Linked DNA regions of Schizosaccharomyces pombe. The protein of the gene in region 1 purifies or fractionates together with the protein of each later gene. This does not show direct contact. Each region holds a gene or a part of one and is shown in the gene's direction. Other genes may lie near its edges. The genes, in order: sds3, nts1 and png3.

Evidence for each region.
Region 2: the proteins of sds3 (region 1) and nts1 purify together in Schizosaccharomyces pombe (affinity purification with western blotting; one study listed by BioGRID). This does not show direct contact.
Region 3: the proteins of sds3 (region 1) and png3 purify together in Schizosaccharomyces pombe (affinity purification with western blotting; one study listed by BioGRID). This does not show direct contact.

Annotation. Positions count from the first base shown.
Region 1 is NC_003424.3:4,153,262-4,163,661, forward strand, and holds sds3 (Clr6 and Rpd3L histone deacetylase complex subunit Sds3), read left to right. Parts: upstream 1-3,243; 5' UTR 3,244-3,277; coding exon 3,278-4,081; 3' UTR 4,082-4,465; downstream 4,466-10,400. Other genes in the region: cytochrome P450 regulator Dap1, read left to right, coding at 2,212-2,712; phosphatidylserine decarboxylase Psd2, read left to right, coding at 5,567-7,117; splicing suppressor Mss51, read right to left, coding at 7,591-8,727; deg1 (tRNA-pseudouridine synthase), read left to right, coding at 9,539-10,400. UniProt on the Schizosaccharomyces pombe protein: Component of the clr6 histone deacetylase complex I responsible for the deacetylation of lysine residues on the N-terminal part of the core histones (H2A, H2B, H3 and H4).
Region 2 is NC_003421.2:928,004-939,439, reverse strand, and holds nts1 (protein Nts1), read left to right. Parts: upstream 1-4,284; 5' UTR 4,285-4,516; coding exon 4,517-4,676; exon of another isoform or gene 4,677-4,745; intron 4,746-5,155; coding exon 5,156-6,477; 3' UTR 6,478-6,703; downstream 6,704-11,436. Other genes in the region: SPOM_SPCC24B10.20 (dehydrogenase), read right to left, coding at 873-1,637; SPOM_SPCC24B10.18 (uncharacterized protein), read right to left, coding at 6,802-6,936, 6,990-7,045, 7,328-7,418; COPII-coated vesicle-associated protein Emp24, read right to left, coding at 8,054-8,362, 8,493-8,689, 8,756-8,849; proteasome assembly chaperone Pac4, read left to right, coding at 9,311-9,685; swt1 (RNA endoribonuclease), read right to left, coding at 10,053-11,436.
Region 3 is NC_003424.3:3,518,550-3,528,637, reverse strand, and holds png3 (protein Png3), read left to right. Parts: upstream 1-4,273; 5' UTR 4,274-4,433; exon of another isoform or gene 4,434-4,475; 5' UTR 4,476-4,539; coding exon 4,540-4,594; exon of another isoform or gene 4,595-4,641; coding exon 4,642-4,713; intron 4,714-4,993; coding exon 4,994-5,502; downstream 5,503-10,088. Other genes in the region: translation initiation factor eIF4E tif45, read right to left, coding at 10-184, 253-479; AdoMet-dependent proline dimethyltransferase tae1, read left to right, coding at 497-531, 569-629, 776-1,043, 1,145-1,254, 1,297-1,482; SPOM_SPAC16E8.13 (ubiquitin-protein ligase E3), read right to left, coding at 1,691-3,334; SPOM_SPAC16E8.18 (uncharacterized protein), read left to right, coding at 5,665-5,988; transcription factor TFIIH complex subunit Tfb1, read left to right, coding at 6,268-6,313, 6,351-6,437, 6,483-7,145, 7,191-7,374, 7,432-7,975, 8,019-8,096; rsm7 (mitochondrial 37S ribosomal protein uS7m), read left to right, coding at 8,878-9,411, 9,499-9,744.

The DNA of each region.
Region 1 (10,400 bases):
ATGAAAGAATACTGGAGATTTGATTCACGACTGTGGATGATGTTTACATATACTATTAAACATTGATTAATTTTGTAGACTAAAAACAGTAAACAACGTTATCAGCTTCAAAAAGTTTTTAAATTTGAATTAATAATTTTTTTATCTTAATAAATAAAGCTATACTACCAAAATTCTTCAATAATAAAAAAACCCTCAATCACCTACTACCGTCCTTTAATTACACTCTTCATCGGCTTCACTTCCTCGCCGAATCTTTGTTTACTTGTACCATCGGTGTTTATTGATTTTATTCGGCAAAATAATTCATCAAAGAAGAAGGGCAACACTTGTATGATTTCTTGGTATGACTGTACATTGGAGGAAATAATGACTGACCTGTTTTTCTTCTTTTTTTTTTTTTTTTTTTTTTTAAAAATTACCGGTCTTACGATACATTCACATCTACCGCTTGACAACAGCTGCAAATTTCATTACACTTGGATATGTAAGATGGTCAATAAAATCAAACGATTTTCTTAGGCTAGTCAAGTCATACTTACACAACAAATTGTCAAGAAAAATTACCAACCATCATCATATAGACACTGTATATAAGCCTTCGGTGAATATTTACACTAAACTAGCCGAACAATTTTTCCATAAGAAATATTATTTTATATTCAATTTAATCTTACAGCTCCTGTAAATAGCCGATCGTTCAAGTATATTTTGTATATTTATTTACTCGATTAATGGTATTTGTTTACTTTAATAATTATTATTAACGGAGATAAAAAGGTTCCTTTCTACTACTAGTCAAATACATAAGCTTCTTTAACAAAAACAAACCCTCGATTATGTAGAACAATGCTTGCTGCTATATTCTATAGTCCATCAGCATGAGCGTTATTTCTGATTCATAATGGTTTACCGAGAGAATTAATGGTAGCAAAATGACCTTGGATTTCAGGAGAGCCGATTCCGAATAGTTGGGATCTTGTTTGCTAAATCGAATGCTTAATTCTAGTAACTAATCCCATAACGACTGTTAGATTATCAGAATTTTCTTATTCTGTTCATTCGCTTCAGGTTAGGTTAATGTGACTGCTTCGTAGTACCGGATGGAAATAATAAAGGTTGCATTTTCCTTAGTTTATAGCCTACCCAACGCACACAAGTCAAATTGCTTGCAAAAGAAATTTCCACGTTTGCAAGTGCCAATGATTGTGCGAAGACTATTGCCTCTTTTGGCATGTAGTCATCTTAGTACTCTTTACTGCATTCTTCAACTTTGTGAAATTGCAGTGAGTCGGTAGGCTACAACATATTAATGTAGTTGCTAGGTAGCTTTATAGGATGAACGTGATTAGCTTGATGATATAAACTAAGACTTGTTTTACCATATTTAAATAAAACTTTGATATCAATCGATAATTCTACTGAAACGGAAATAATGTTGGAGAGTAGTGAGATACTAGTTGGTAATCTAGCACACAAAGCAAGTAAACTAGTTGGTTTAAAAAAAGGATAAATTTAAATCGTAATGATACTGATATATTGCTAGTTATATATAAAGCACTTTTAATCATAGTCTTGAAAGGTTTGCATTTTGTACGAGTGGAAGCATACTATTTCAAATGATATAGGCATGCGTTCGACTCATGCTGCTACCATGATGAACACGAGCCAGAAGGCTCAATATTCTATTAAACCCAGCTCTTTGAACCAATAGTTGTGAAACGAGAAACAAGTTCTGAACAGCAGTTTGTTTAAACATTGTTCGTGTATGCCTGGATAACTATGCTGTTGAGAAATTTTGTTTTTTTTACTAAAAAAATGTCGTGCGACTACGATTTCTCGCTTTGTTGAATAAATCAAAACACCATTACGCAGACTATACATGCATAAAGAGTATTGTAACCTTTTGTAAGATTCTTGTCATAGTAAATAAGATATGCTATGTTCCATTCTGTGCGTATATATGAGCAACATAATCATTGATATATAATTACATAACTAACCAAAATTTTTAACTTATGCTTTATTACAGTGCCTTTTAAACAGTTTATGTGTGCAGAAAACGAGACTGCAATAAACATATTCTCTATAACCGTCCGTATATAGTAATGTACCATGGTAACAAAACTATCGTACGTATTCTTCTAAGCAGGTAGTGCGAAGGTTTTGAGAGAATCATGCGACCAGTTGATTCTTCCATAAACCAACACCATGGCATCTACACAAGTTGTTTTTATAGTAACCTTATTTCTTTATTTGCTAATCACTCGCTGGAGAAGGAAGAATGAGAAATCTTTTATTGCAAGCGAAGAGCCAAAACAGCCCGAATGGAGAGATTATACTCCAGCAGAACTGAAGGAATATAATGGCTCCAAAAATTCATTGGTTTTTCTTGCTATCAAGGGAACTGTGTACAACGTTACAATGGGATCAAAATTTTATGGTCCACAAGGCCCTTATAGTGCTTTTGCCGGTCATGATGCCAGTCGTGGTTTAGCAAAAAATAGTTTTGACGATGAATTTATTCCTGATTCAGATGCAGAAGAATTGGATGATTGCAGTGATTTAAACGATGAGGAGAGGCAGGCTCTAAACGATTGGAAAGCATTTTTTGACCAAAAATATCAAGCTGTTGGCAGGCTGATAAGTCCCAGAGAGGCCAGAGCAGCAGCTACTATTTCAGAAACCGAAGAAAAAGTTGCGCATAATTAATAGCGACAAACCTGTTTTTTATGACTTCTTTCATGCTTATGGGTTTATGATCTTTTCTTTGGGATAATCTAGGACAAGTGGTATACGTTCCGCGTCCGAAGGATCAATCTGTAGTATTTGGGTACATTTGATGATGTGTTATGAAATTACTAGAAGCATGATTGCTTTCAAAAATTATCTTGCATGAAATAGAGGCTCTTAAGCAATGTTGAAAAAAGTCCTTGTAGCAGTAATTTTGGTGCCTTGATAAGGTTACGATAGCATCTTTTAAAAAACATTGTATGTCATTTCCATGTTTTTTTTTGACAATGAAAACTTAATAACCATCTGTGTCTTCTATTTTGTTGTAACATATATAAATGGTAGTAGATGTATGATCCATTTTGAAGAATTATTGTAAACCGTTGTTCATCTGATAATTATTAGCACAACTTTTCTCGTTTAGATAACTTTATTTCGTATTCGGAGAATCTTACCCTTACCCTTAAAATCCTTCGTCAGTAGCTGGAAGAAGGACAAAATTGTTTTGTCACGAACAAATAGGTGGTAAAAGAGTTAAAGCGTCATGGACGTCCTTTCGAGAGTCTTTGACAATGAAAAAGAAGAACTGGATCCTTTATTGAACAATCCACTTACAGCTAGTGAGTTCCGAGCCAAAAAAGCAGAACTGGAAGCTGAATTGGAATCTATTCGTAACGGAACTTGTAAAACTCTTTTAGATTTGGCAGATGAACTTAGAAGGAGTAGAGATGAGGAATTGGAAATTGCAGAGCGTTGGAGAACGTTTTTGGTGAATCGGGCACAAGAGGAATACGAAGTGGAGATGAAAGCAGCCAAGGAGGAGTACGAATATCGTTGTAAAACTTTAAAAGAAATGGTGCTTTCCCATTTGAATGAGAAAAAGAGAAAAATTTACGAAGCAAAGGATATGTTTGACATTGGGAGTGAATCCTCGACCCTACTGCTCCATGATGCCTCTTCTCAGTTCATTGATCGTCGTAAGCTTCGGCATCGTCGTAATGCGGGAAATCAACAAAATACACAACAATTACCTTCTTTAAATTTTTTTGATGACTACTTATTATTTCCCACCGATGAAACTGCAGTTATCCCACAATCCGTGAAGAATGCCGTTCGCAACTCAGTAAATTCCGTGAAACCTACTTCAGCCGAAGCCTCTTTATTCTCTCCTCTTCTCTCTATGGCAAACGCTAACCCTACGAACGGTCGTGAACGAGATCCCCGAGCCTCCGAGCGTGCTGAAAGAGATCGTGAAAAAGCCGTGGAAAAGGGCTTAAGCGGTGCTACCGAGGAAGACATTCAATCCGATTTACAATTGTTGAAAAAGGAACTTGCTAAGAAGAAATAACTTACTTTATGAAAAATGAATATTTCGATGATTGGTTGAACAATCCTTGATACTCATCGTTATCATGATTTGTCCTAATGTCCTCTAACCTGAAATAATGATTTAATTCATATTGCAAGGGAATGCTTACTGAGAACAAGTCCTCAATTTACATATCGTTTTCTCAAAAGTTTATCGTTTGTTTACCATTATCCTTACTGTATTTTTACTTGCTTGTTATATGTTTTAGAATGGATAAATGTCCTTAATTACATACTAGTGATTGATCTAGTTGATCCTTAACTTGAATTCATTTGTAATAAATATATCCAAAATCGACTAACCCACATTTCTGCTTTTACGCACCGCATTCATCTATTTATAGTCCATATCTGTAGAATAATTAAAGTTCGCTATTCAATATACTGGTATCTTGTATATCACGTTATAAAGGATACCCCGCGCCACCCCATGTTTCCTCGCGATCCCCCCATAAGGAGATCTCTCAGTCTACTGACAATATTGCTGTGCCCTTAGCCAATTTATCAGCAATTCAAGAAAGTCGACATAAAATTCAATTTTGCAGTATTTATCGCTTCACGAAGGATTTAATAGTTGAAGGAAAACAAGGGAAGTAGTTAGTTTTCCAAATCAATCTTCAGATTGACTATTTCCAAGTTGCAGTTTTGAACTGTATCCTATTCAACTTTATTAAATTCATGTTTAATGTGGACTTTGCCTAAGTTTTCTTTTTAATAACCTTTCGCTTTTACTCCATCTTATCAGCTAGACAATTTTCTTTGTCGCTTCCTTATTTTTCTCATTTTGTTTAACCCCTCTCTTTCTCTCTCGTTGAAACTAAACTGTGTGCATTGTTTGTGGTTTGTGTACCATCATCGCTTATTCATTCCTTTTATTCATTGCCTTTCCTTCTTTCAATTTCACTCATTTATACAACGGTTCATTTTTGAAATAGACACTTCAGCTAATTTCTTAAGTTTGTAATATTTGCTTTGCTTCTTGATATTTTTCGCTTCCCCCAGCTTAACAGCATATCTTAATCTTGTACATCATTGTTTGTAGAAGTTTTATGTACTAAAACCCTTAGTACGAATTTTATAAACTTCTGTTCTTCATTTGCAATAATCGATCCATCAACAATCTACGAGTATATCAACACCCTTATACTCTGTCTTTTTGGTAACCTTTTGCAAAAGAAAATATTCCTTTTTATATCTTTATCCCGTTCCTCGCTTAAGTCTTCCGCGAAGTTTTGTTTGTCTACTATTCCTTTATTTGTTTGCAACAAGACTTGACTTTAAAACTTAAACTCACATTTTTCCTTGGAAGCACAACCTCTACATTTATTCGCTTAGTTCCACATCTCTGGATTTTCCAAATAGACATCGAAGGTACTTAAACTTCTAGGTACTTTTTATATTTTTTTTACAAGTTTTCAATTTTAGATTTAGCATACCTAACTAAGGAAATTTATACCGATCAAACATGCGTCCTCGTCAAAGATTTCGTCGTTTTCATCCTCGTTGGTCAAAAGTTAACCTTCGAGGCTTCGGTGGTGTCGGCGCTTTGAAAGGTGTTAAGGCCCTAAATGGAATGAACGTACGCGTTTCCATGAGATTAAAATGGATCTCAAATCGTATCCATCGCATTCGCAGGAGTCGCCGCTTGGGGCGCCTTTCTATAAGTGTCCGTCCTAATGGTTCCTGGCAGGTATATTTATTAAGCTCTCTTCCATTAAGGAGCCTTTCTCGTGTCTGGGGACAATTTAACAGAGCTCATTTACCTACTTTTTTGCGTACACCCGGATTTAAACTATATGCTTGGGTTTTTGGATGCAATTTAAGCGAATTGAAGGATCCTGATTTGACTCATTACCGTAATTTTCAAGATTTCTTTTGCCGTGAGCTTCGTCCAGAGACTAGACCCGTTGATCCTGTTTCTCCTGTCGTATCACCGGTAGATGGCCGTATCGTTTGTCAGGGAGTTGTCGATAATAATCGAATTCAGCATGTCAAAGGTCTTTCTTACTCTCTTGAAGCTCTTTTAGGAGGTATATCAAGTTCGAATCCTTTAGTCGTCAACTTTGAGGATGAAATAACTCCTGATCTTATTCAAAAGCACGAGCAATTTGCTGAACAACACTCAATTTCCTTAAATTCTAATAACCGCTATCGTAAAGCTGATGCTTCAGCTGCCGTTGTGGATGAACATTCTGACGAGGAAGCACTTCTTTGTGCTTTTACTGACCATCCGCATTTTTATCTTAATGACTCTCGTAATTCCTTAAATTATTTCTGTCCCTTTTCTGCCTTTGAAGATATTTCAAATTCCGTTCGTAGCTCATGCGGAAAACGACTCTCTCCCTCAAGCAATTTCGATCTGAATAACCTTGGAGGTGACGATGACTTGAGGAGTGAGTCATCTAGTGATTTTGAATCTGCTCCTGCTTCAATTCTTGAACACGAACCAACTAACTGGGATGATTGGGTACAAGAAGCTGACGTTACGGACATTGACTCATTACCTTGGCACAATATCCGTCCTGGCAATAAGCTGTTTTACTCTGTGATTTACTTAGCACCAGGTGACTATCATAGATTTCACTCTCCTGCTGATTGGGTTATTGAATCTAGGCGTCACTTTTCAGGTGAACTCTTTAGTGTTTCTCCATTTTTGGCGCGAAGACTACACAACCTTTTTGTGTTGAATGAACGCGTAGCATTATTGGGTCGTTACGAACATGGATTTATGAGTATGATTCCTGTAGGTGCAACCAATGTGGGTAGCATTGTCATTAATTGTGATCCTACTTTATCTACCAATCGCCTCGTCTTACGGAAGAAGTCATTAGGTACGTTTCAAGAAGCAGTTTACAAGAACGCTTCTCCTGTTTTAGACGGTATGCCAGTTAGTCGTGGCGAACAAGTTGGTGGGTTTCAACTCGGAAGTACCGTTGTTTTGGTATTCGAAGCACCTGCCGACTTTGAGTTTTCCACTTATCAAGGCCAATATGTTCGTGTTGGAGAGGCCCTCTAAACAGGATAAATCGGGATAATTTTTATTAATCGCTGGATTATCCCTGATATAAGTTATTGTTAGTATGAGAATGTGTGTATTCTAAATAATCATTTGTATGTGATGAATTAATTAAATTAACCCATTTGCTTTTGATCTTCTTTTTATTTAAATTGATATTGCGTTTATAAACCCATAATTATAGTTACTATTTACTTAATTACATTCCAATTTAAAGAATTGACACCCAATAAATTTATTTTATTGATACACCTTTAAAGTAGTAATGAAAATGTTTAAAAATAAGTATGGTTAGCTTGTTTTGACATAAGGTGGCATGTCTTCTTTTCAAAATTCGTAATTGATAATCATTACATATATACTAATATTTTGTTTATTCACAATCCAAAATTTGGACCTTAAAATTCATTAATAGATTGCTTTTAGATTAGAATATGAAATTGGAAGATGGTAGACGACTTAACGGACAAGAATTACTCTTTGGAAACATTTTGGACATTATAATAAAGGGCTCTGAATCCAAATACTTCTTGATTTGCGTGATAAACTTCATGAAGGTTTGAATCATCAACAGACCAGCCTAAGCTGGCAAATTTATTAACAGTTGGCAATAACAAGGGCTCAATTGAATCTTTCAAAACATTATTAAGAACTTCCAAATCTTTGGTTGTTCTTTGAGATGAAGGACTTGTGAGCCATACAGAGCAACGAGTCGATACCAAATCGTGAAGTGTCGGAATCCACGATGAAGAATAAAGTGGATGACTTATAAGAGGCATCGGAAGAAAAAAAGTATCATAGTAGGGGTCAAAAGGCTCAAAGGCTCCAACTCTATGCAAATTGTGGTAGTAATCCTGATGAAAATGAAGGCTGAGTGGGGAAGGCAAATTGGGTTGCTTAGAAGGAACAACAACTTCAGGTCCGATAAAATGCAATTGAAATAAACGACCTGGGAACAAAAAGTTCAATCCTTGTAACCAAATTGATGGTGGTAATGAACATTCTTTGGTAGCACCCAAAACGAAAATTCTAGTGGGTCTGGGATCAGTAGATTGAGCAGACAAAGGACGATGAAGCATATATCGTAGAGCAGTTAATGATTGTAGACCCTGGGGAGTTAACCCATTTTTTAAATTATAAGGAGAATTCTTGTGAAGGATAGCGCCGATTGACATGGGATATGTTAATAAACTAGTAATATGTCTAGCAGTTCTAGACGATTGGAACTTTGGGAAATCGCGGGTATAGAAGAATGAATCCCATGACAGAAGAGAAACTACTTCATCTTCTTCCATGGGTCCAGGAAGTTTGAGTAGTTCCGGCAAAGGGTTTGGTCGTGCTAAGTCATGATAGTCTTCATTAATTTGGCGTAGTTTTGGGATAAGGGATTGGTGAATCTTGTCCTGTTCCCAATGAGTTCTATTACAATGAGTAGGAAATCCAGATTCAGGACACTCATATTCCACTGACTTTCCCGAAATTGGACACCGATAGACTTGTTTGATATGCTCAGAGCGACGGCGAAGAGCCGTTAAGGGAGAACGCGATAAAGGATGGAATAATTCATGAGTTGGGGATTTCTTCTTGAAGAGATTTTTTAAAAACGACATAAGTAAAAAAAATATAAGCGAAACGTCACTCTTGAACCAAAAAACAACCTTCTACCGGTTTCAATGTAACTATAGGTAATGAAATAAATTTTTATGTCGGTGTTGCAGCTAAATTTAACAAGTATTGATTTAGGTGAACGTGTTTAGTAGCAGACGAAGAAACTAAAATTAAAAATGTCAAGGAACATAAAAAATACGTTAACAAGGCAAACTATTGAAATGCTTAGTAAAAAAAATTAACAAATTAGTTCGTAGAAGCAATTGCTTTGTTCATTAGCAACCGACATTCAGTAGCGAATTTTATTCTTTAAAAAAATATTAAGTATTGAGTTGACTCAACAAAGAGGTGATTTTCAATAATGTTGATATTAAAGAACTATCTAGTAAATCAATTGCATAACGGGAAATGCACTTTCTTTATTGGAAGTCTACAATGCAACTATAAGGAATACGAATCATCTCGAAAGTAGCTGTGTTAATCTAAGCTTCTATAATTTTCATTGCTCGTAATGTAAAGTGAACTCAATATTTTAGTAACAGTTCCAGCTGGCCCAACAAGACTGCAAACTGACCATACAGAATCCCAAAGCTGTTGTACTAATGAGCAACTAAAAATATATCTGATAAATTCTCAATGTTACATAGATGATTTATAACTTTACTGCGAAAATGTCTGCCTCTTATGACAAGCAAGTCATTAATTATCAGAGCCTTGCGAACCTATTCGTCTGCCACCTGACCTCGTCAAAGGCAGTAATTAAATTGGCAATATAATTCAGGCAAGATTTTTCAATTTTCTAAAATCCTTCGAATGCCCGCCTCCAAATATGCTGGATGGTCTCGAGACCAGCTAATATCCAGAATTTTAGAATTGGACGGGAAATTGCAAAAAAATACAAATTCACTTCCCAATAAAGAAATTGAGGGGAAAAATGAAGTAATTAAAAATAAAAACAAATTGGATAATGGAAATGAAATAGAACCCCAGCATCTGAGCCAAGAACTAGTTTTGCAACATGCGCTTCAGGACGCAAGTAGTCTTCCAAAACTGAAACCTGTCAGACCGTTTCAACTAGAAAAAACAGTTTTTGTTGCTTTTAAATTTGCCTATTGTGGTTGGAATTACAATGGTCTTGCCTACCAGTTAGAACCGACTCCTTTGCCCACTGTTGAAGGAAAGGTGTTTGAAGCGCTGTTGAGAGCTCATCTCATCACTGATCCTTCATCATGTTCCTTTAGTCGATGTGGACGTACTGATAAGGGAGTTTCAGCCATGGGTCAGGTTATATCATTAAATGTACGACATTCAGAAAGAAGACCTATCATATATTGTGATGTATTGAATCGCCTGTTGCCCGCAGATATACGTATTACTGGCTATGCATTTCCACCAGAAGGCTTTGATGCTCGATTTTCCTGTAAACAGCGTCATTATAAATACTTGTTTACTAAGGATTATCCCGGTGGTTCTCTTGACATTGATCGAATGAATGAAGCCGCAGCACTTTATCTAGGTGAGCATGACTTTCGAAATTTTTGCAAAATAGATGCTTCTAAACAAATTACAAATTATCACCGTCGAATTCTCAGTTCAAAGGTTATTTGCATTGATCCCAGTACCGGTCTTTACGCTTTTGACCTACAAGGAACTGCATTTTTATGGCATCAGGTAC
Region 2 (11,436 bases), on another chromosome or scaffold:
ATTTCGGGTTATTGAACGATTAATCGTGTTTATTGCATTTTGCGAGCATGTTTAAGCATAGTGCACGATTTATCACTCTCATTACTGTCCATCTTGGGTATTTGTTTTGTTTACATCTAGGAAGACTCCAGGTAGCAGCGGGGCCAAATTTGTTACCTTGATGTAACGATGAGCAATCCCCCGAAAAGATCTGCCGGAAAAACCTTAAGATGCGCTTTCGGGTGCGAAGAAGTTTCTAGAGATCGCAGCAAATGGCATCAAATTTGCTAAAGATCTGTAATCTTCTATAAAGCATTCTAGTGAAATGTGCTAACAAAAATAATGCGCTCAACTCTATTACAGTAAATCACTCAAGTGCTTTCTCCATCACATGCTCCTATGTTCAACCGCTGAGATCGCAGCGGATACTAGTACGTGGTCAAGCGGCTCTTCACAAAATTTTAAACTCTATTAATGAATTGTAATAGAATTTGTATTCCACAGGTCTCCCATGACAAGTCCCAACTTTGTGGTAAATTATTTTACAAGCATAGTTGTAAATACTAATCTATCACGTTTCCCTATTACTCACATAATGAATGAACAGCTCGCAGAGAAGCATTCAGCGTGGCTTACAGCGTCCTTAAAATGATTAGGAGGCTTTGTCGAGAGCATTAAACACAGATATCAAAATTTAAACCTGGCTGCGCTATTTCGTATGTTTTTAATTCAAATAAGCCTGAAAGGTGCATTCTCAAGCTTTTTTTTAAGTATTTCGTAAAGTAATTAAGTGAAATCTTACCAGAGTATTCAATTCATAATTTATAGATAATTGATTCAAGTTGGCACTGCTTTGTGTCTTGTTGCGTAAACCATTGACAGGCGAACTTCCATTAAAATGGAAGTTTTGTGCCATCAAGGTTATAAAACATTCCATTATCCTCTGTTTTTAAATTATCCACAATTTTAAGCATAGATGAAGCACTTTGCTCTGGTGAGATGGCATTGCTCTTGATGGATTCTACCATCTCAGGATATTTGCTGGCTAATTTTTGCATAGCATTAACAAACATGTCAGTGTTAACTACTCCAGGGTGAATAGAAACTACAACGAATCCATCTTTCTCTAACTCAAAACTAATTTCTTTCATCGTATAATTTAAGGCTGCTTTAGATTGCCCGTAAGCCGAGTATGTGTTTGGACGAACTCCTCCCATGCACGCAGCCATTGATGAAGTAAAAACAATATTCTTTAGCTTTCCCTCCTTTAACAAGTGATAAAAAGCTTGGTAAACATGAATAGGACCTAACACATTGGTTTGATAATGAGACATCCAAAGCTCGTCTGATGTTTTCAAAACAGGTTGGAAGGATTTCGATATCCCCGAATTCACCCAAAGAACATCAATACATTTTACTACCTTTTCAACCTGCATGGCAGCGTCTTTGGCACTTCGTAGAGAAGTGACATCTAACTTGATGATATGTACATTGGAATGGGTCTTGCTCCAATCTTTCAGTTCAGAGGCAGATCCAGGTCCACGAGCACTTGCAAAAACAGTTACTCCTTCCTTATTGCTTAACTCTTTGACTAGAGAAAGTCCAATGCCACGGTTTCCACCCACAATAACGTAAACTATCCCACCAGCAGCCGACATGTTTTAGCATAAAATGACTCAAAAAGATTCAAGGTGATGATTTTTTTCAACAATAATTCTTTATATCAAGGTCAGTCGTCTTGCCTAGCCTACTTGGTTGGAGGTGTAAAACAGTTGCGCTCACGCATAATGTATCAAGTCAGAAAGATCTGCAAATGCATCGTCGCACAGTTCTTAAACTATAGTCACTAAACAATAATACGTTATTATTTAATCAATCAATATGCTTTATGAATGACATTATGCTCTTTTGCCCAAATTAAGCCCTAAAGTCGTAGCTGGTATCTCTAGTCTGAGTTTGGGACAGCAGTTTTAAAGTAAAAGGCTGCTGAATTCTATCAGGTATCATTCCTCCATTTGCTACTAGATAAAGCTACTATAACTAAAGAATTGGCAATACATTTCGATAATAAACATACAAACAATGTAGCGGATTCACATTTTTATTGCTACAAATTTACCAACTGGTGCTAACTTGCGTTGTCTAACTATATATCGATAGTGAAGGTTTTTTTTCTATTTCATATAAGCAACTTAATGACAGGCTACGTTATATTTCAATTTGCAACTGACTTTATAAAGGAACCTGACAGAATGTACAGCTACTGTAACGTTTTGAAAGGTGCTTCGTAAAGTAAATATAGCGTTTTGCTTTATATATCGCTCCTTTCTTTCTACACTGTTAATCTACTTTAGTAGGTAGGAAAGGATATCAAGGGTGTAAGAAAATTTCATGGTTTTTCTGTTGTATGTTCATTTATTTTATATTTATGGAGTGTTTTGTACGCACTAGCTCTTTTAGTGTTTTATTTTTACTGCGAGAAATGTAATTTTCATTCTTCCTCTTTTATTTATATATGTGTTTTTTTTTGGTAGATTTTGTAAACATCATATAGCTTGTTAATGATCAGACTTTATTTTTTTAATATTTTCTTTTGTTAAGCAATTTCGTTTAAAAATAAACATATCCGACTTTGATGCTTCAAAAATTTAATGTAATAAAATAATATTCCTGTTTTTGAATCTGGGTTAAAATCATATCGGATACCTTATAAAATTCACTGATCATTTAAAAAAAAAAAAAAAAAAAAAAAAAACCCCCCGAAAACATACAATTTTGTTAATTTTCAAATGCATTCTTTTGAGGTCAAGCCATATTTACTTTTATCCCAAATATTAAATTTAAGTGTCATATGCAAAGTTGCAAATTCGCCGACCGTAGGGCTATCAAAACTGATGATGTTTAAAAATTGACTAATGGAACAAATTTATCTTGAGATGAAATGATGTTGTTCAAAATTAATATAATTTTTTTTTGCTGTTTCCTCTTGCTTTATACGCATTTTCCTGCACCTCTCTTTCAGAATACACATTATTCTTATTTGGTATTAAGATTCACCAATTGATAAAATAACACCTAATTGTATGCCACGGCTATCTTGCTATTATTGTAATTTCGCTTTATATTCGATTTTGACGAATGAACCCTGTCAAGTTGGAAAATGCAAAAGCAGTATTCTACCGTTACCTCTCAGTAGTAAAATGACCTTCCATCGATGAAATTCTCTAACATTCTCTTCGTATTTAAAAATGTATGGATCGTATATTCCTTGCTTATCCACGATTCATGAACAATTAAGATTTGCTGAATGGGTAACACATATTCTGCGTTACCTCGTATAGTTCATTGTTAATCAATGTTTAAACACTAAATTTCCCATCTCCCACTGTTAATTGAAAATAGGTTTTATTCAATAAATTACCATTTAAAAAGACATGTTATTTTAAGTTATATATTTTATGAACCTAAAGATTGAAGTAAAGGCCTTCGGAGCCTTTAGTTCCCCTACTATGTGCCTCTACTCGCTTCTTGGGGCTTAACTGTAATGTAGTATTGCCAATTACACAAAAAATTTATATTGTTCTTTAGCTTCTTATAATTCATTTAAATGAGAGGTAAAAAATTCGAGAAGACATTTCAGAAAACTACAGAAGTATCCATTTGTTTGAAATTAACTGTCCTAATGCAGATGAATCCTATGTAATAGAAATATTACAACCGTGGCTATAAAAGAAGTTGAGAGTTAGTTATACGTAAGAATATCTTTTAAAGATTTCAATCGACATCTCACATGATTCATCAGTATTAAACGTAAAAGTTTACATATTAGTTGTAGCACTATTCGTGATAAATGAAATAGTAAACCAAAAAACGAACGAGGAATAATCTTTTCATCACTAGAATATTAAAATTATTTTATATAATCAAAGTTAGAAAGATTCCTTTAGTTCCTTGAAATATTCTTTAATTATTATTGCAGCACTAAGGATTGCATCACTGATATGTCTCAGTAATGATTATCAGAACGTCTGGTAATAAAGCACGATCCTCTCTCTTTTTTTGTTCTGACTCTCGTCAGGATGAATTCCTTCTCAAAGTGCCGGGAGGAATTGCTTTGTATTTTTTGTACCGTACTTACATTTTATCGTATACTTTCACCTTAGCGCTTTTGGTGTCAAAACAATAGAGATGTAAATTTTAATAGAAATTAAAGCTTATTGGAATTTTTGTTTTCAAGTGTTTTAACATGTAGTGATTGTGTAAAGTATATGTTTACGTTCTAGTAATCGACTACCGTTGAAACTTGCAAACTACCAAACAGTATTGCAGACAGTGAATCAGTCGACGGAGCACTTGAATCAATTTGTTAATAATATAGAGATTAAATTCACAATTTATTGACACATGATTAACTGAATTCATTAAAATATTTGTTTTTTTGGTATATATTTCCTTTCAATACCCTCGCTATTTGTTTCTTAATAACTGAAGACAACATTGATCTACTTAATATATATGACTCAAAACTCACAGAGTAATGGTGAAATCGTGTCAAAAAAAACCGGATATTGATGAGTTCTTTTCATTTTTGCAGAGTGCATTCCATCCTCTACAGACCGAGGAACTTGATACATTCGTTCGCAACATTTTTGAATATGACGATCGAGGTCGTTTGTACAACTGCCTTTTAACTCTAGGTAAGAATGAATATTAGATATAATCAAGTTTATTTTTATCGCTTTTTCTAAAATTGTGAATTTTCAATTGATCGTCGTATGCTTGATAGCAATTTTGATGATCTTTTATCAAACATTTTGCACGCCTATAACTCTAAGGTTATATCAATTCAATTTTCTCAAAGAAACATATAAAATTTTACTCTATTCATGACTTGGCATGAGTGGTTGGATGAGACTGTGGCGTTGGTCGTTAATTATATTTTTTGTTGTTTCTGTTCGAAATTGAATGGTTGATTTCAACATTTAGCCCTTGGGTTTTTATTTCCCTAGGAAAAATGTTTGGGAGATTTAACCGTACAGTTTTCTGTAAAGCAAATGATTGTATAAAAAAATTATGATGACTGAAAATTCAAATCTACTACAATGTCACTTGAAAAATCGATTTCTTTTTTGATGTTTTATTTCTTTTTTATTAAAATTTCTAACCGTTAATGCAGTTCCTTATGAAAGACTTCCAATAGATGCAGAGGATCTTAGTAGTCGAAAAACCTATGCGCGTCCCGTACTAATCCGACAATACCGCAGTTTGCGGTTTGCCAACAAAGAAGAAAACATTTGTCGGCTAACTCCCAACTCAGCGTTCGTCCCTGTTCGAGACTCTGCAGTCGCTAGCATTTCAACCTCAAAAGTGCAGGACTTTAACTCCTATGCTACTCTCACTGAAGCACAGAAAAAAACGGCCACTCCCGTTGAGGAAAAAAACTTCTTAAATCAAATTGTCATACAATGTTTAGACTCTTTGGAAACCGACGTTGAAACAAATACCACGCATGCTACTTTACTAGCCGTTGACCCTACTTGGTTAATCCGTGTATCACAGCATACCTGTGATCGGAAAGCTGTGGCTAATCTCTGTATTCAGTATGGAAGTCAAATATTTTATGATCCATCATTTCGAAATGCTTATGAATTATGGTCCAATCCTTCAGTTCTTTTGGCTTTTTTGAAGGCCCAAAGAGTGTTGGTCGTTTCAGATATATTTACTTCGTCAACATTGAGATCAACACAAGGGACGCCAATGTCTTTTCCTAATTTAGCTTTGGAAAGCGCTGATAATGTCGAGAACGTATCAAAGCCTATTAACCCTCGAATGGAAAGGTTTTCATCAGAGGTTAAATCTTCGAGTATTCTGAAACAACAGATTGCAGCCGTTGTTGAGAAAATCAATTATGACATACGCCCTCAACGTGATCAAATCCCTGAAGAAAATATCGTACCTAGAATCTCTTACTTAACAAGTACCACTACTTCGACCAAATCATCACCGGTTCCCGAAAGCACTACAACAAACACAACTGAAGTGCTGAAAGAACTTAATGACATTCAAGAGAACAAAAGCAGAAAAAATGTTGAAAAAGCGACTGCGGCAACAGAAGAAATGCTACGTGGCCATCACAAACCGGTAGAAGGAACAACGGCTACTTCGGAAAAAGAAAGCATTAAAGAAGAAGTTGATTTAGAAGTTAACGGTGACGGGAAAGTTGAAGCGGAAGAGAGAATAGAATTGGAATCTTCCGATTCAGAGAAAGAGCTTTCAGAGCTGATTGATTTTCTTAAAAGAGAACACCCACCGGAAGATACTCCAGAAAAACGAGTAAAGATTAAAAGAATTAGAACATTACTCGACACATGGCAGCAGGAGTGGAGAATTTTAAATAAAGCCATTTCAAATGCAGAGTCAAATTCTGGGCGAGGACAGAACTCCAAAACGAAAACTACTTCTGTAAACTTATCGCGAAACAAACGAACGAGGACTTAAGAATGTTTAAAAGCATTTTTTTTGTGGAACATAATTATTAATCTTAGAATTACGAGCTTTTTATTTGGAACACTACTGAGTCTAATTATTTAAAGAAAATTATCAAACAACAATATTTGTATATAACGTTTACTCATTTCCCAACAAAATTAATTTATAAATAATAATCAAAAATGAACCGAATTCCCTGTATACTTAACCATAATAGTAATAAAATTCCAAAACCAATGCTACAATTCGATAAATGCAGTATGATCAAGTGTAGCCATTTACCTCCTTTTGAAAAGGAACAAAACAGTTACACAAAAAGAAATACCAAACGACTCAATGCTTTCCCTCCTTTAACTCCTTGGCACCAGCTTCACCTAATGCCTTAGTAATTGTCAACTTGCCCACTTGTTGAGACGCAATTCCGGCAATTAGTTTCTCATTGCGAACATTTAATGTTTTTGTAATGTTCTTTAAAGATATTAGCAAAAAGAACATATATAAAAGTAAATTTTAAAACATACCGCATTAATTGTATGGTCTTTGATAGCAGCTGCTCTTCTAGGGGCACAATAACGAGCTAAAAGTCAAGGTTAGTAATGAGTATTAATGATGAATGATAAACCATATAATATGATATCTTGTATGCTTAAGAGTAAAATGATTGAAACGTGTATCAAAAAATTTAATGAAAAATTTTACTATAATGAGTATCTAAAGTTACGAAAAGATGAAGAGTTTATAGCACCACAAAGGTTGTCCAACAACTTCAATGAGCTTAAAATATTAAAAGAAACATCCCTAAACCAAATTCCCTAGCATACAAAGATCACCGAATATTTGACAGTTGCAGCTGACATACCGCCTTTTTTAGGATTCTTGGAGTGTTTTGTAACACGTCCGCCCTTGTTGGCACTACTATTTTTCTTCTTTTTAAATTCTCCTTGTGCCATTGAGTTACGATAAATGGTAATGGTTATAGTTTGGTGTAGTAAATGAATTTTCATAGATACTTTGAAGGTAACATTAGAAGGAGGTAACAAACATCGCCATGAATACAGCAATAAGTAATACATACAAGTGGCATTACAGACTAAATAATTCGTTTTATAAGCAAATGTATAATGAGGGAATTGTTATACTGTTAATGTTACCGTCTATAAAAAAAGTGTACCTTTAGAAAGATCGGAATGCCATAAAATGTGAAAGTTAAAGTGCAGTGTTTCCCACAGTGCAGAATGATTTAAGAAATTAAGACTTTAAAATTCATTAAAAAACACGTACGTTTGCTAAATGATTGCTTCAAACATAACGAATCTTTTTTTTTAAAGAACAGGCGAGATCATAAAAGAAAACATTAACCTGCACAAGTAAAAGACAGATTAAAGATTCAGATTGAAAGGGAAAACGCCAGCAACCGACAGGAAATAAAATTTTTTAAAAAAAATTTAGTCGTCGGTGATGGCCAGCTTCAAATAGAGACCAATTATAATACTTTTTGCTGCTCAAGCAGAATCTTGAAATTACGACCGTCGTCCAGTCGCACGGAAAACTTATTGCGAACAATAAGTAACGTTATGCGGATAAACTATACAACACGCTTTACTTCGAAAAGTCGCTTTAAGTAGAAAATTTGGAATACACATACGGAAACTAGAATAACGGTTTGAAGAATACTCCACCACTTGACGCGGTCATTTGTGCTTTCAGCAGTATTGCGATGTATTCTTTCACGAGCCACAAAATACTCCTGCTCATGTTTTACCTTGGAGATGGTATCATGGAGTTGGCGGACCTTGCCGAGTAAAGGATTGTTAGCATCCAAATCTTCATCAGAGATATATATAACACCATGCACATTGAATAAAACCTCCTTTGATTCACCATCGAGTGCATCCTATTGATGTTGTTAGTTAAGATTGTACATCTAGCTGTTTCCGGCTCAACCATCAAACAATTAGACGACATGGGAAATGACGACCATAATGCCAGGCTTTGATGCCAGAAAACAAAAAGATAACACATACATTATAGAAACAATACATGTATTTCCCTGGGTTCTTAACGGTGAAAGAATATTGGGCCATAGAGTTGGGAACCTCTTGATGCATAATTTGACCCGCAGGATTGTAGATACTCATAGAAACAAGCTGATCACCACCAACGTTTGTTTGATAAGTGACAGACATTTGATCATTATTCCTCAAATTTTCATAGAAACATTCTAAGTTTGCTTCATTAGCATTGTATACTCCATGAATCTCAACACAAATACACTGAAATTACATACCTCGTTGATGCGGTTTCAATGTAATGCCATGACCGAAAACAACAGATATAAAATAAGCACATAACACGGCTTTAAATACGTTAAAAAACGCCATTTTGCAAAGTAAAGCTCTTTGCTCTTTGAAGCAGCAAGAATGAGGTCTATGGTAGAGGAAACGTACAAAGCACTAGTTGGAGGGCAACCGTGCATAAACAAAGCACAACTGTGAAATTAGGCGACGCTACGTTAAATTTGCTTAAGAAAAAATACGATGTCTTTATAAAAAAAACGTAATACGGTATCTTTCCTTATTTCTGTGGAAATTATTAAATCATTCTTGTCTTCAGAGTATAACTAGTAATTCTCCAAAACTTCGTTTATTTTGTATTTAACTTATTATTGAACATCAATTCATTTTATTTTTTTTTCTCTCCTATTAATTAGGTTTTGCATGAACTTGCCATTTGTTCGAAAACCTTTACTGTTGTATTCATAATATTTTTGCCAACATTTTAAAGCCACACTTTGCTTGTCCTCTCTTTCTTTGAATTTTTAAAAAAAAATAATTGTTTTACCATGTTTCAAGTCATCCAAAAAGAACTTGATTTTGGGAATGCAATGATACCAAAAGTATGGATACAAGTCATAAAGCTGAATCCATCCTCTTCTATCTTTGTATGGGGAAGCAATGTTTCAACATGTCCTGCAGGTGATTTAGCCCTTTCCATGCCAGGTAAATCGGATGTCGTTACTACCAAACTTACTGGTGCTGGCTCAATTGACGATCTTTCTACTCAAATGTCTCGGATCCTCTCCAAAAAATTTCAAGCTCAAGTCTACACTAGCATAAACCTTCAAGGGGACTTTCCGAATGATCCTGAGGTCCAATCTGTTTTTACACAGGTTATCCGTGCTGTCATTGAAATTATCGAAAGCTCAAAATCCTCATAGGTAAACTCGCTGTGGGTTTGCGACGCAACCGAAACTAAGCACCAGTAATTGAACTAATAAAAACTAAAAGCGCGGTCTCTTTTTTCTTCCTAACATACTTTTTATTTTTTTTTCGGTTGTTTATGGTGAACAGCGGTTTCATATACATAATGGTCTAATATTTGTTGTTAATATAGTGTTAACATTGTACATATTACATCTCAAAACATTTCGGTTGATGCATGTTTTCTCATAGGGTAGTTATACCGTTGATGAACCTTTTCTATTTTCCATACAGGTACTTTTAATCTTTTTGGTGCTACAAAAAAAGGATATAGTTGGTGAATATTTTCATTAATGTATTAATTTAGCAATATTTATATTTTTTCTAAGATAAAATACGTTCTCGGCCTGATCGTTCGACCCATTTTTCAATATTTTGCTCCCTAAAACCTATATAGGTAGATGCTTGATCTCCTAAAATTTCACGTCTACTTAATAGAGTCCAAATATTAGACCAAAAAGTAACGTAAGTTTGTAACTCCTCTTGATTTTTTGGCCCAATTCCAATACCACGCTCCGCCCAAAGCATCCATTCATTCCATAATTCGGCTTTGGATTTTAAATTTGATCTTTCTTGAGCTGGTAAGTATCCATCGAAACACGTATACCAGTGAATATACAGCTCATGTCCAACATCGTTTATATTTTGAGGAGGAAATTGGGGAGACGCAAGAAGCTTTGTCATTGCCAAGTCGTAATCTCCCCATAATTTCAAAAGGTGACGGGAAAGTAGAAATGCAGTCTCTTCTACCATTATTTTTGTAATTTGGTCTAGCAGCTTACAGGCTCGGGGATGTGATGCATGAAGTATCTCCTCCTTTGTTAATGCCGTGTAAGTGTATGGAATGTAATCGGCTGCTGATCTAGTTGTGTCTTTCTTCTTGTCGTACGGAGGGAAGTGGGCATAACGGGATGCCCAAATGGAATTGTCATGGGTGCGATCCATTGGTATATCTACAGTTGAAGCTCCTTGATTACGATGGTTTGTAGCTGTAGCTAAAGGTTGTGAAACAGTCAAATCGATATCCATCGACAAATTCTCTAAGTTCTCAGAGTTCGAAGAAAAAGCAGAAGGGAAAGATGTCTGAACGATCGATGCAGCTTCAAGGCCTTTGGAGAACGATAAAGATTGAATATGATGAACGGCCGCTTTTATACTGAGATTCTTGTCATCCGAAAGAAGGACGGCAGGAATAAGTTTTTCTTCTTGATAGTATATGCAGCAATCAAGGATAGCGTCATCACCTTTTTCAGTAGATGAGCAGTGTTCATGTACTTTCTGCCCACGAAGACTTGAAACATTAGATCGAAAGCATTGCAAAAGAAAGTTATGAGCTTGTCTAGCCAAATAACCACAAGTAGAGGAGGATTCTGACTTAAGGCCATCTAGCTCTTGAAGGACCGTCCATGGTAGTACGACAACAAGTCGAGGGCAACGAGCTGTAAGAAATTCAATAAGGTTTTGACAAAGGCTCAGATGCGACAAAAGGAAATTTGTATCAAGCACAAAAAGCCCCAAAGGTTTACTGTAGCGAGCCGGTTTGGAAGCTAAAGAAGTGGAGGAAGCAAAAGGAGAAGGCGAGGGAGATTGAAAAGAGGAGGGATTGATTTCACTTAATGAAGGAATATGCGAAGTTGACCATCTGTTACGCGCACGTTCAGAGTTGATGGACTCAGTGACAAAATCTATGCCAGCCTGGTCGTCTATT
Region 3 (10,088 bases), 630 kb from region 1:
CAAACCTACCGTAGTTAACCACATCTCATCTAAAGCGTTTCCTCCACGGCCTTTATTCTGAAAAGCCCATTTACCTCCAGTCTTATTATGGACGTCTTCCCATTCTGGACGAACTCCTTCACGGAAAAAAGAATAATCAGACTTAATAGGCAAGCTAGATGCAGGATTGATATTGTTATGGATTCTGAATCGAATGTTAGTAATGTTAAAGCAATTTATAATATCACAATAATGAATAAGCAATTTACTTACCCCCAAAACTCTTCTACGCTATTAAAAGTAATTATGTTCTTTTGCAGTTCATTCCATTCCAAGCCAGGAGTAGGTGGCATTAAAAACCACAAAGTCCATGGTCTAGCAAGAGGATGCTTCAAATTAAAATTTATTTTGTCATCAAAAACCGTCCGCAGAGCTTTTTCTTGCGGTTCTGACACGGTATTTTCGGTCTGTGACTCTTTTGGTGGTTGTTCAGTCTGCATGGTTCTGGCTAGAAAGAATGGACCCCGAGAAATTTTATAGCGATGCGATTGAGTATGTGAAAGCTTACAGAATTTGGCTAATTTAATAGCTATTGGAATGGAGTTCAACCAACTGTAGATGGAATGCTTGGAGGGCTGGGAACTGGTCGTGTATGTAAAAGAAAATTTACCAAGAGAATTATATTTTTAGAAAACGGGTGTAAACGTTCAAAAGACTCAATCTCAACTTACTGTTACATCTCTATCTTTTTTTAAGACTATTTATTTAAATAATTTGTATTATTAACATTCTACAGATTCCTCAAACTGATGTAGTGGGATCACGAACTTTTCTCAATCGTCTCAATTATCGTATAGGAAAAATCGAAAACTTAGTGGCCGCTGATTGTGGTGCAGGTATAGGAAGGGTCACTGAAAATGTGCTTTTGAAGATAGCCTCTCATGTCGATCTTGTGGAACCTGTTGAAAATTTCATATCCACGGCAAAAAAACAGCTTGCAACCAAGCCTTGCTCTTTCATAAATGTCGGATTACAAAATTGGACTCCAGAAAAAAACCGTTATGGTATGTATATCAGTTAGATGCTTTTATTTTGTCCAAGATGAGGCTTAATCTCTAGGATCCACTTCTTTGCTTGTCATCTTAACAAATTTTAACAAATTTAGGGCTGATTTGGAACCAATGGTGTTTGTCCCATCTCACAGATGAGGATTTGATTGCCTATCTTAGCCGCTGTTGTGAAGCAATTCAAGAGAAGGGAGTCATTTGCGTAAAGGTTCGTATCCCATATGTGAGTAGGAAAAAACTGACTTCTTAGGAAAATGTTTCATCTTTTGAGGACACCTTTGATCCTATTGATAGTAGCGTAACACGTTGTGAACAGTCTCTGAAGTCCCTGTTTAAAAAGGCAAACCTAGTAGTTGTAGCAGAAACTCTGCAACATGGCTTTCCTGAAGAATTGTTTCCTGTGAAAATGTATGCACTTGTTCCTCATTCCTCGTAAATTTAAACTTGTTCGAAATTGATGGTTGACAATTGAAATAAGCGCGAGATTCTTACTATTGTTGAAAAAGGGACTACCAAAACCAGCTGAAACAGCTTTGACTTTTACAAAAGTAATAAGAACAAAAAGAATAAATATTTTTATTTTATATGCAAACATAAATTGAAAAAATGAAACGTTATTCTCGTAAATGTGTAGTAAAAATATATCAGTCTGTACCTAGTGAACCAGAACTGCTGGGAACGACTGGTTTTTTTTTCTTCTTCTTCTTACTTTTAACAGAATTAGACCTGACCGTAGAGTTATTAGGAAGAACGATGGTTCCATTCTGTAATTCTTCGGATTGGCCCATTTTTTGAATCTCCTGCGACGCAGAAATAGTAAACATAAGGTCTCTAAGTTGCTCATTAAGATCATTAATTTGAAATTGCATTGAAACGATCTGATCGCTCTTTGTTGTATTTTGCTTTTCCAATGTCTGAATGCGAACCAGCAAATTTTCATTCATACTTTTTTCTTCTTCATAATTATGCTTCAAATGCTCTAATTGAGACGAGACACGCTTAAGCTTGTCGTCTCTTTTCTTTAATTTGGATTCAGAAATATCCACGCGAGAACGAAGATCTGTATTTGCATTTGAAGAGGCCGTAGCTATTTTGGTCTTTAAGACGAGTTCTTCATTAACACGGCTCAACTTTTGAGACATATTAGAAAGATGAGATTCGTAATAAAGGCGCTGCGACTCTAGTTGTGATACCAAAATCTGCGTATACTCTAGTCCCATCTTGTCCCGCAGTTTTGATTCCGTAGCGCTGGAACCAGTCCAGCCTGAAGACTTTCCGTCTGTCGACAATTCTACCAATTTACCATCTGTTTCAGACTGCAATAGGCGATGAACATAATTATCTCCAGCGTAATCCCAAACACGTTGTGTTTCAAGTTCCATAGCATAACAATGAGCGGTGTCTACATAATGTTGCTTAGCATGTGCATCGTGGTATCTGCCACATCCAATGTTACCACAAATCAAGCAAATCCATAAATCTTTATCATAACAGCATACAGTGCATTTGCTCTGAAATTCAGAACTCTGTACTTTTTGAGTATAACGACATACAGGACATGATGAATTTCCCCATTTTTGCAAGCATGGACAGTGAAAAGTATGCTGGCACACAATGGTAATTAAACCAGTAATTGAAGAATCCATACGTTCTAAACATACAACGCATGTAGGAAGCTCGATAAGGGCAGGAGTCGTAGAAGCAAAAGGTTTGGAGGAAGGGCCTACTAGTTGCTGCTCAGTTGAAGAAGAATCAGAGCTCTCCATTGGATATTTTATATTTACTTTGTCAATATGTAAAACGTGGCAAGTTTCAGGATCTATTTGGCTAAAAGCTTTGCCATTGAACTCTGTATAGAACCTAATAACACTTGCTTGATCCTTGAATTTCAACAGCGCCATGATCCGATTTGGATCTTTCGTCTTAAGAAGACGTATATGCTGGATTGACTTGCAATGTTTCTCTCCCAAAAAACCCAATACATCGGAGGGCGACATATATAAGGGAATTGCCAATATCGCAAGGATTAGACCTGGCGCATCAAATTCATGGCTTTCTGAAGGAAATACCCTGTATAAATGAACGACGCCATGTCCAAGAGATGTCTCCTCAACCTCAGGAACTTTAGAAGATGGAAAATCCATTGATAATAACTTTATTTCACCCAATCGAAAATTAAAATGATCGCCTCCAAAAGAATTACCAACAACTTTAGATGCTCTCCTTTTATTACAGGTAAAAATATCTTTTACAGGAGACTCACATTCAATTTCTAAGTAGTAATACATGCATTAAACATCAATACTTGGTAATGGCTCTAAACGACTTGGCATGGTGTTAGTAGAAATAGAATACCTGAGGTCTGTAATGTTAGTAACACCAAATCCTTTATTATTTTTGAGAAGTTTTTAAATTTAAGTGAAAAATAAATAATTTTTAGATGAACTACGTAAGAACTTTCATTTTAATTACTGGTAATAGATACGGATCAATACGATTAAAATGAATCCTAATAAATAATGATAAAATGAGCAATTTTATTAATGGATTTATTCAGCTAGAAAAATAGCATTAATTTAAAATAGAATATTCACTCACTCTTGAAGCCTGCATGGTGAAATTATACATGAATTTGAACATGCAAAAATTGAATTGAAAACTTTTCATTTTAGGAATTCGTTTTCTTTTACAATTGGTCAAGTGTCTTACAAAATCGATTCTTTAAGAGCTATGTTTCTATGCAATTACTTGTCGGTCTCGCGTTGTATACTTCTAGGATAAGATTTTAATATGATTCCAAGAACCGCATATTTTATAATATAATAACAATTTATGTTGTATTCTGTTTCTGCCCTTTTCTTCCCGTCGGTTTAAAAAAAACAATTAACAAGCATGTATTTAGTATATTCTGGGGGTACCATTCAGGAAGTTCTCAGATTCTCAGCCCATTTAGAAGGAGATAGTTTTGAATAAACTGGGACCATCACTAAAAAAATAATTTTGTATTCTTAAAAGAACCAGAGGTGCCAAGCAAGCGTATGAAAACATGAATGTGCTTAATTAAGCTGACGGATTGGCCATTGACTAAAATGCAAGCAACCTTTTGAAATGAACATACTTTAAAATGACTTGAATTTTTTACTTTATTATAAAAACTGATCACTGACCCATGAGGATCCCGTATTTCTTCGGGACGATATTTTCCTAGTTTAACGCATTTCATGAACGACCACTACCAACTAGGTACAATAGTTCATACTCAAGTAAAAGAAGCTAGGTGTGTTTTGGAGAACAGCTATATAAAATAAAGTTTTGAAAAAGCTTTGAAGCAAGCCTTATAAGTGGAAAACCGAGATTCTTTGGTTCGATTGCACTTATATTACAGACGTAAACAAAAGGAAGCAAAAAGCAATGCTAACCTTGGGCAAGTAATAAAAGTCAAACTAGAAAGAATCCTCATGAATAGCTGTATATAATCGACAAGTCGTCAGCCATGGCAAAACCAAAAAAGGAAAATGACTTGGATCTTCTTATACAACTTGCTGACGGTAATAAATGAACATGTGTAAATAAATAATTTTCTTACATTATTTAGCATTGGAAGCTATACCGGGTGATTTATCCAAAAATTTTACGGAAGTCCGTTTTTTAGAGGCTGAACTAAAGGGTAAGTGATAGTGGCATTATAGATTGGGATTTTTTGCTTGAACAACTGTGAAGGTTTTGATAATAAACAAAAAAATGAAAGATTACTAGTGAAACCGTTCTGGTGTTGATTTTCTTTGTTAATGTTTAATCAATCTGCTTAGGACTTGTTTGAACCTTGAATATGTTATTCAAAAGGACTTGAACGCTACTGAGGCTTATAATAAGTTTATGTTGTTCTTATCAAAACTTGCCTATCTAGAGCTTGCCTTTTTCTGATTTAAAATGATTAACATGTTCAGATGTGTATTCACAAGCTCTTTCTTCAATTGATGACCTTCTTAACAGAGATACTAGTGTTGAACGTCGTAATTTAGTCGCTCGAAACTTATCATTACTGTTAAAATCCGATGATGTACAAACTCGAAAAAAATCCCACATTGCAATGTATGCAGAGGCAATTACTCATAGTAATGTTTTACGTTTAGAACACTGTTATCAAAAGATGGAAATGAAATTACCAAATTTTTTTATTCCTTTCACTCCAGAGGTTATAAAAGAGCAAAAAACTTCGAGACCTATTAGAGCATCCCGGCGGAGAGCCAATTTAAGGAATCGCCGTGCTAAAGAATTGCTAGCAGCTGAAAACGCATCGGAGGAAGGAGATAAAAAGCAAATAATCACGGATTCTGGTAAACTACCAGAGACAGAGGAATTAACCGAGACCACAAATGAAGACCTCGACATCAAACAATTCTCTCCCTATTCTTCAGAGAGCAGTGCAAACGTTTCTTCTTACAATAAATCTTGAAACTTACGTAAAGCCTTATATTATTAAAATTCTTGCTTTTTTGTTTTTCTAATTGAAATACACTAATAATAGTTTATCCGGGATTAGCTACTAAATTCTAGTCATTCAACAGAAGTCACTTTGAAAACATATATAAACTCATGTCTTTCCATACTGATTCGAATGGAGGTAACTTCTTTCATACTTAATGCTACGTTTAAAGAGTTTGCATGTTTTGGAAACAATTACTTGATAATACTACCAGGAATTATGTTAGAAAGGAACGTATTTAGACATTTGAATTACTCTACAAATTCTATTTGTAGCCACTATCAGTTTTTTGGCGGACATTACGAATCTTTTGAACTTTTAGTAGTGATAGTTTATTACTTTTCACATGTTGGTTCTTTCTCTTTGGCTGAGATATATCGTATTACCTGGGATAAACGCATTGTACTTTATGGAACAACAACCACTCTTGTCTACTGCTCTGAAGGGTCGGATTGATTGCGTATATGATTAATTCATATTGTATTTTTTTAAAAATAAAACAGGGCTATAGTTTTAGATAACTGTCTCTTATAGGTTACCTATGTTCATAGCTCAACTTAATGAGGATATATTTACCCAAAATCTAAGTGTATATGATTTGGGACATCAAGAAACCATTCAAAACTTTTATTTTTCTAATGATTTTCGTAGTTTCCAATGTTCATCCTGTGTCTAACAAATCTTGATAATTTCGTAAAAGACTAGCGGTGTATTCCACAACTACCAAAATATCTGATGGGAGACAGGGTAGAAGCATTAGCCATATTCAGAAAAAAACAAGGTAAAATAACAATTAAATCAATGATTCTAACATGCAGGCGTATTATCTATCGATAGTAGATTAAAATGGACGGGGGAAGGGAAAACAACACCATCAGTAGATATTGCTTTTGATGCAATTTCGAGTAATAATAATTGTTGCATTTTCGAGATTACTGACAGATTGATAGATCTTCAAACTACTCCAGCGTCTAATCCAAAAGTTATGATTCGTGTTTTTATAGTAGTAAAGGAAGGTGAAGATCCCACTTCTTTAGTATTTCATTTCACCGGTACTCCTAATGCCAGAGAAAATTGTGATATGATTACTAATGAGTTGAGAAATGCGATACAAAGACAAAGGGAAGGCTCTCAATCTAAACCACAAGGAGCCAATGTCGATCGTGTAAATTCTACGAATCTAGAAAAGGACATCGACTTACAAGAGTCTTTGCTTACTAACAATCCCGATCTCTTACAAACATTTAAGGAAGCAGTTATGAAGGGACATTTAAGTAATGAGCAATTTTGGAGCACAAGGCTTCATTTGCTCCGCGCTCATGCTGTAGAAAGGTCTCAGCAGCGTGGTCCTTATAATGTCTTGTCTACTATTAAACCTAAAACAGTGGACAACCAAATGAAAGTTTCCCTTACCGGCCAGCAAATTCACGATATGTTTGAACAACATCCATTGCTCCGAAAGGTATATGACAAGCATGTGCCTCCTCTAGCAGAAGGAGAGTTTTGGAGTAGATTTTTCCTTTCCAAGCTTTGTAAAAAGCTTCGTGGCGACAGAATTACACCAATGGATCCCTCTGATGATATAATGGATAAGTATTTAAAAGATAATGAAGGTAATTTCTCCAACCTAGATGAATTCCATTTCTAACATTTTCAAGAGGTAACCAAAGTATCGGATGAACCTATTGCATCGCACCTCTTTGATTTAGAAGGAAATGATCAAAATGCAAATGTAATAGCAGAACTTAGACCTGATATCACTATGCGAATTGACAAAGAAGCTCTACCGTTTATGAAAAACATCAATCAGCTTTCGGAAAGACTTTTGGAAAAAAGTTTGGGGTATGTATATTCGGTTTTATTAATTGTTATTGCTTCGGTATGCCTAACAACTTGTAGAAACTCTAAACGATTTAACAACGAAAATGAAGAAACATACTTAAAAGAATCTGGTTTTCACGATTTAGAAGAAGAAGCCAGTGACTCTAAAGTTGTCTTAAAAATCAAAGGTCAAGATCAGTTATTGGAAAATAATTTTGTCCCCTCAAAAAATCAAGTTGGTTTAGAGCCTTTGCCTTCATTGGAAGCTCTTCAACATTTATACCAGGAAGATTCGATAAGCTTAAATCACATTGAACATGATTCTGACTCTTTGGCTGAAGCCGCTATGCAGCTTACTCAGAGTATGCGCGAAAAGCATGAGTTTGAGACCCACGGCACTGCATCAAATTTACCTATTGACATAAAAAATGAAATTGTTTTGTGCCATACCGTTACGATAGAATTTTTGCATCAATTTTGGAATGCCTTGTTGAATACAACTTTCCCGGACAAGAAGGCGATGGCCCCCCTTCAGAATGCTCTGTTAAATTCGAAAAAAAGGGTGGAGGCAATTGCGAGCCAGGCTCAGGAACAAAACGTTGATCCAAAACTGGTTTATGAGGTAAGTTTTTTTTGTAGAGATTTTGATTATTAACTAGGATTAGTTGGTATCCTGTACGCTCACTTCTATTGATACGTCAATCTCGGAGTATCAAAGACGAATGTCTTATCCTCCTGCTTAGGTTTGATAATGTCTTTGGAAACTCAATTGTGCTTGTAAAAGGTAATTGTTTCTGTTTTTCCATATAGAGGTTAATGATATATTGATATATTCTTTATTGGACTTAATGTTCTTTCTTCATAAAGGCTGGAAAAAATGAACATTGAAATGCTGGATATGGCTCTTTTTCTGTTTATACAACTCTTGAATTAAAAAACTTTTGTTTTGGTTTATAGATTCAAAAGACAATCAAAACTGTTTTTAGATTACTGTGCTCATAGGCCAAAATCTAATGTTTTTATGTCTTTATAGATTTTATTATTTATTAAAATTCGTTTTATGACACGAATATAGTATGTTATAAACTGATGTTCAATTAATTAATGTCCCATAATTTCTCTCTTTTGTTTTAAATGCTTGTTTTTACAATTTTTCAATTTATCGCTTCTCTGTATATTATATATAACTTTTTTTTTTACTTTCTTTCAAGGTATCAGTTCTGTATGATCCCAATAAAACTGTGTCTAGCTCAAGTATTAAATTTGGATACACAATTAATGATGAATATTTTAACATCGATTACCTAATTTATCTTATTTCAAGTTAATAAATAAATAGCCAAACGACTTTGAAATGTAGCACGCTAGCGCCTAGTTCCCTTCCCTTTTCTTTCATTTATCCATAGTGTATATGTACTAAGCTTAAACATCTACGCACACCTTAGCTTTCCTACATGCTTTGATTAATAAGAGTAATTGTTTTAAAAATTTCATTCAAGAAGAAAGAACAAACAATAAAGGGCCATGCTACGACTCATAAAGCAACCTTTGTTTCGATGTGCGAGTTCGGGACATTTGATGAAAGAGTCGCTTGTTTTTATCCATCAGACTCGTACTTTTCAAGTTGGAAAATTTACCTCAAATGAAAAATATAATGAAAAAATTGAAGATATCAATGAACGTTCAAATCCACAATGGGATAATGCGGGACTCGAAAATTTACTGAATCAACTTCAAGATTCTGTCGAACAGTCTGCCTCCGACGATTTTATGGGTGAATTAGAGAAAAAAATTGAAGTTGAAAATGAAGAACCGCCGCTAATGGGTACAAATCTGTGGCCTTCTCCGTCAAGTTCAATTGTAGGGTTAATAGATCGACCATTTCAGGTCGACTCTACAGTACAGCATTTGGTGAATTTAATAATGCGAGATGGGAAAAAAGCTAAAGCTGAAAAGATTGTTGCAACAGCGCTCTCTATCATACAAAAAGAAACCGGTGAAAATCCTATAGATGTTTTGAAACAAGCAATCGCTGAGATTTCTCCCTTAATGAAGTTGGTACGTCGAAATTATTGAAAATTTTGGAATTTTTTGTGAATTATTTCTTTTTATAGTGTGTAGACGGATTTGCTAATATTTTGATAGGTTTCTGCAAAGCGATTTAACAAAAGTGTCGAATTTCCTATGCCATTGAAAGAGCGACAGCGAAGAAGGATTGCGTTACAATGGATCCTCGGTGAATGTAAATCATCAAGTCCTAAAAGATTATCAGATCGTATTGTTAAAGAAATCATTGCTATCAGGAGCAAGACAAGCAATTGTTTCAAAAAGAAAGATCATCTGCACAGAATGTGCCTTGTTAACAGAGGTAATGCACCCGTTCGTATATAAAAACAAAAATTCCGTACATTTTTATCTTTTTTATGAATTGCATTCCCTTTTAGTAATGTTATTTTTGTCTAGTATATCGAGAATTGATTACTCTTAGTTATCAACTCAATTATACTACGTAGTGCGCAGTTAATCATATTCATGTTTATGAGGTTATAGTTTGGTTGTAAAATAACTTTCATAATATTCATCAACATTCTTCTACAGCTCCTTTTCAGTTAACGGAAATGCTACAGAATTTATCTTCTATGAAGTATATTGTTGTTTTTTCAAAACAAAGAAGGGAAAGTAAATTAGTTCATCGACTAAACTGTTAATTTCCTCTATATAAATTAAATTGACAA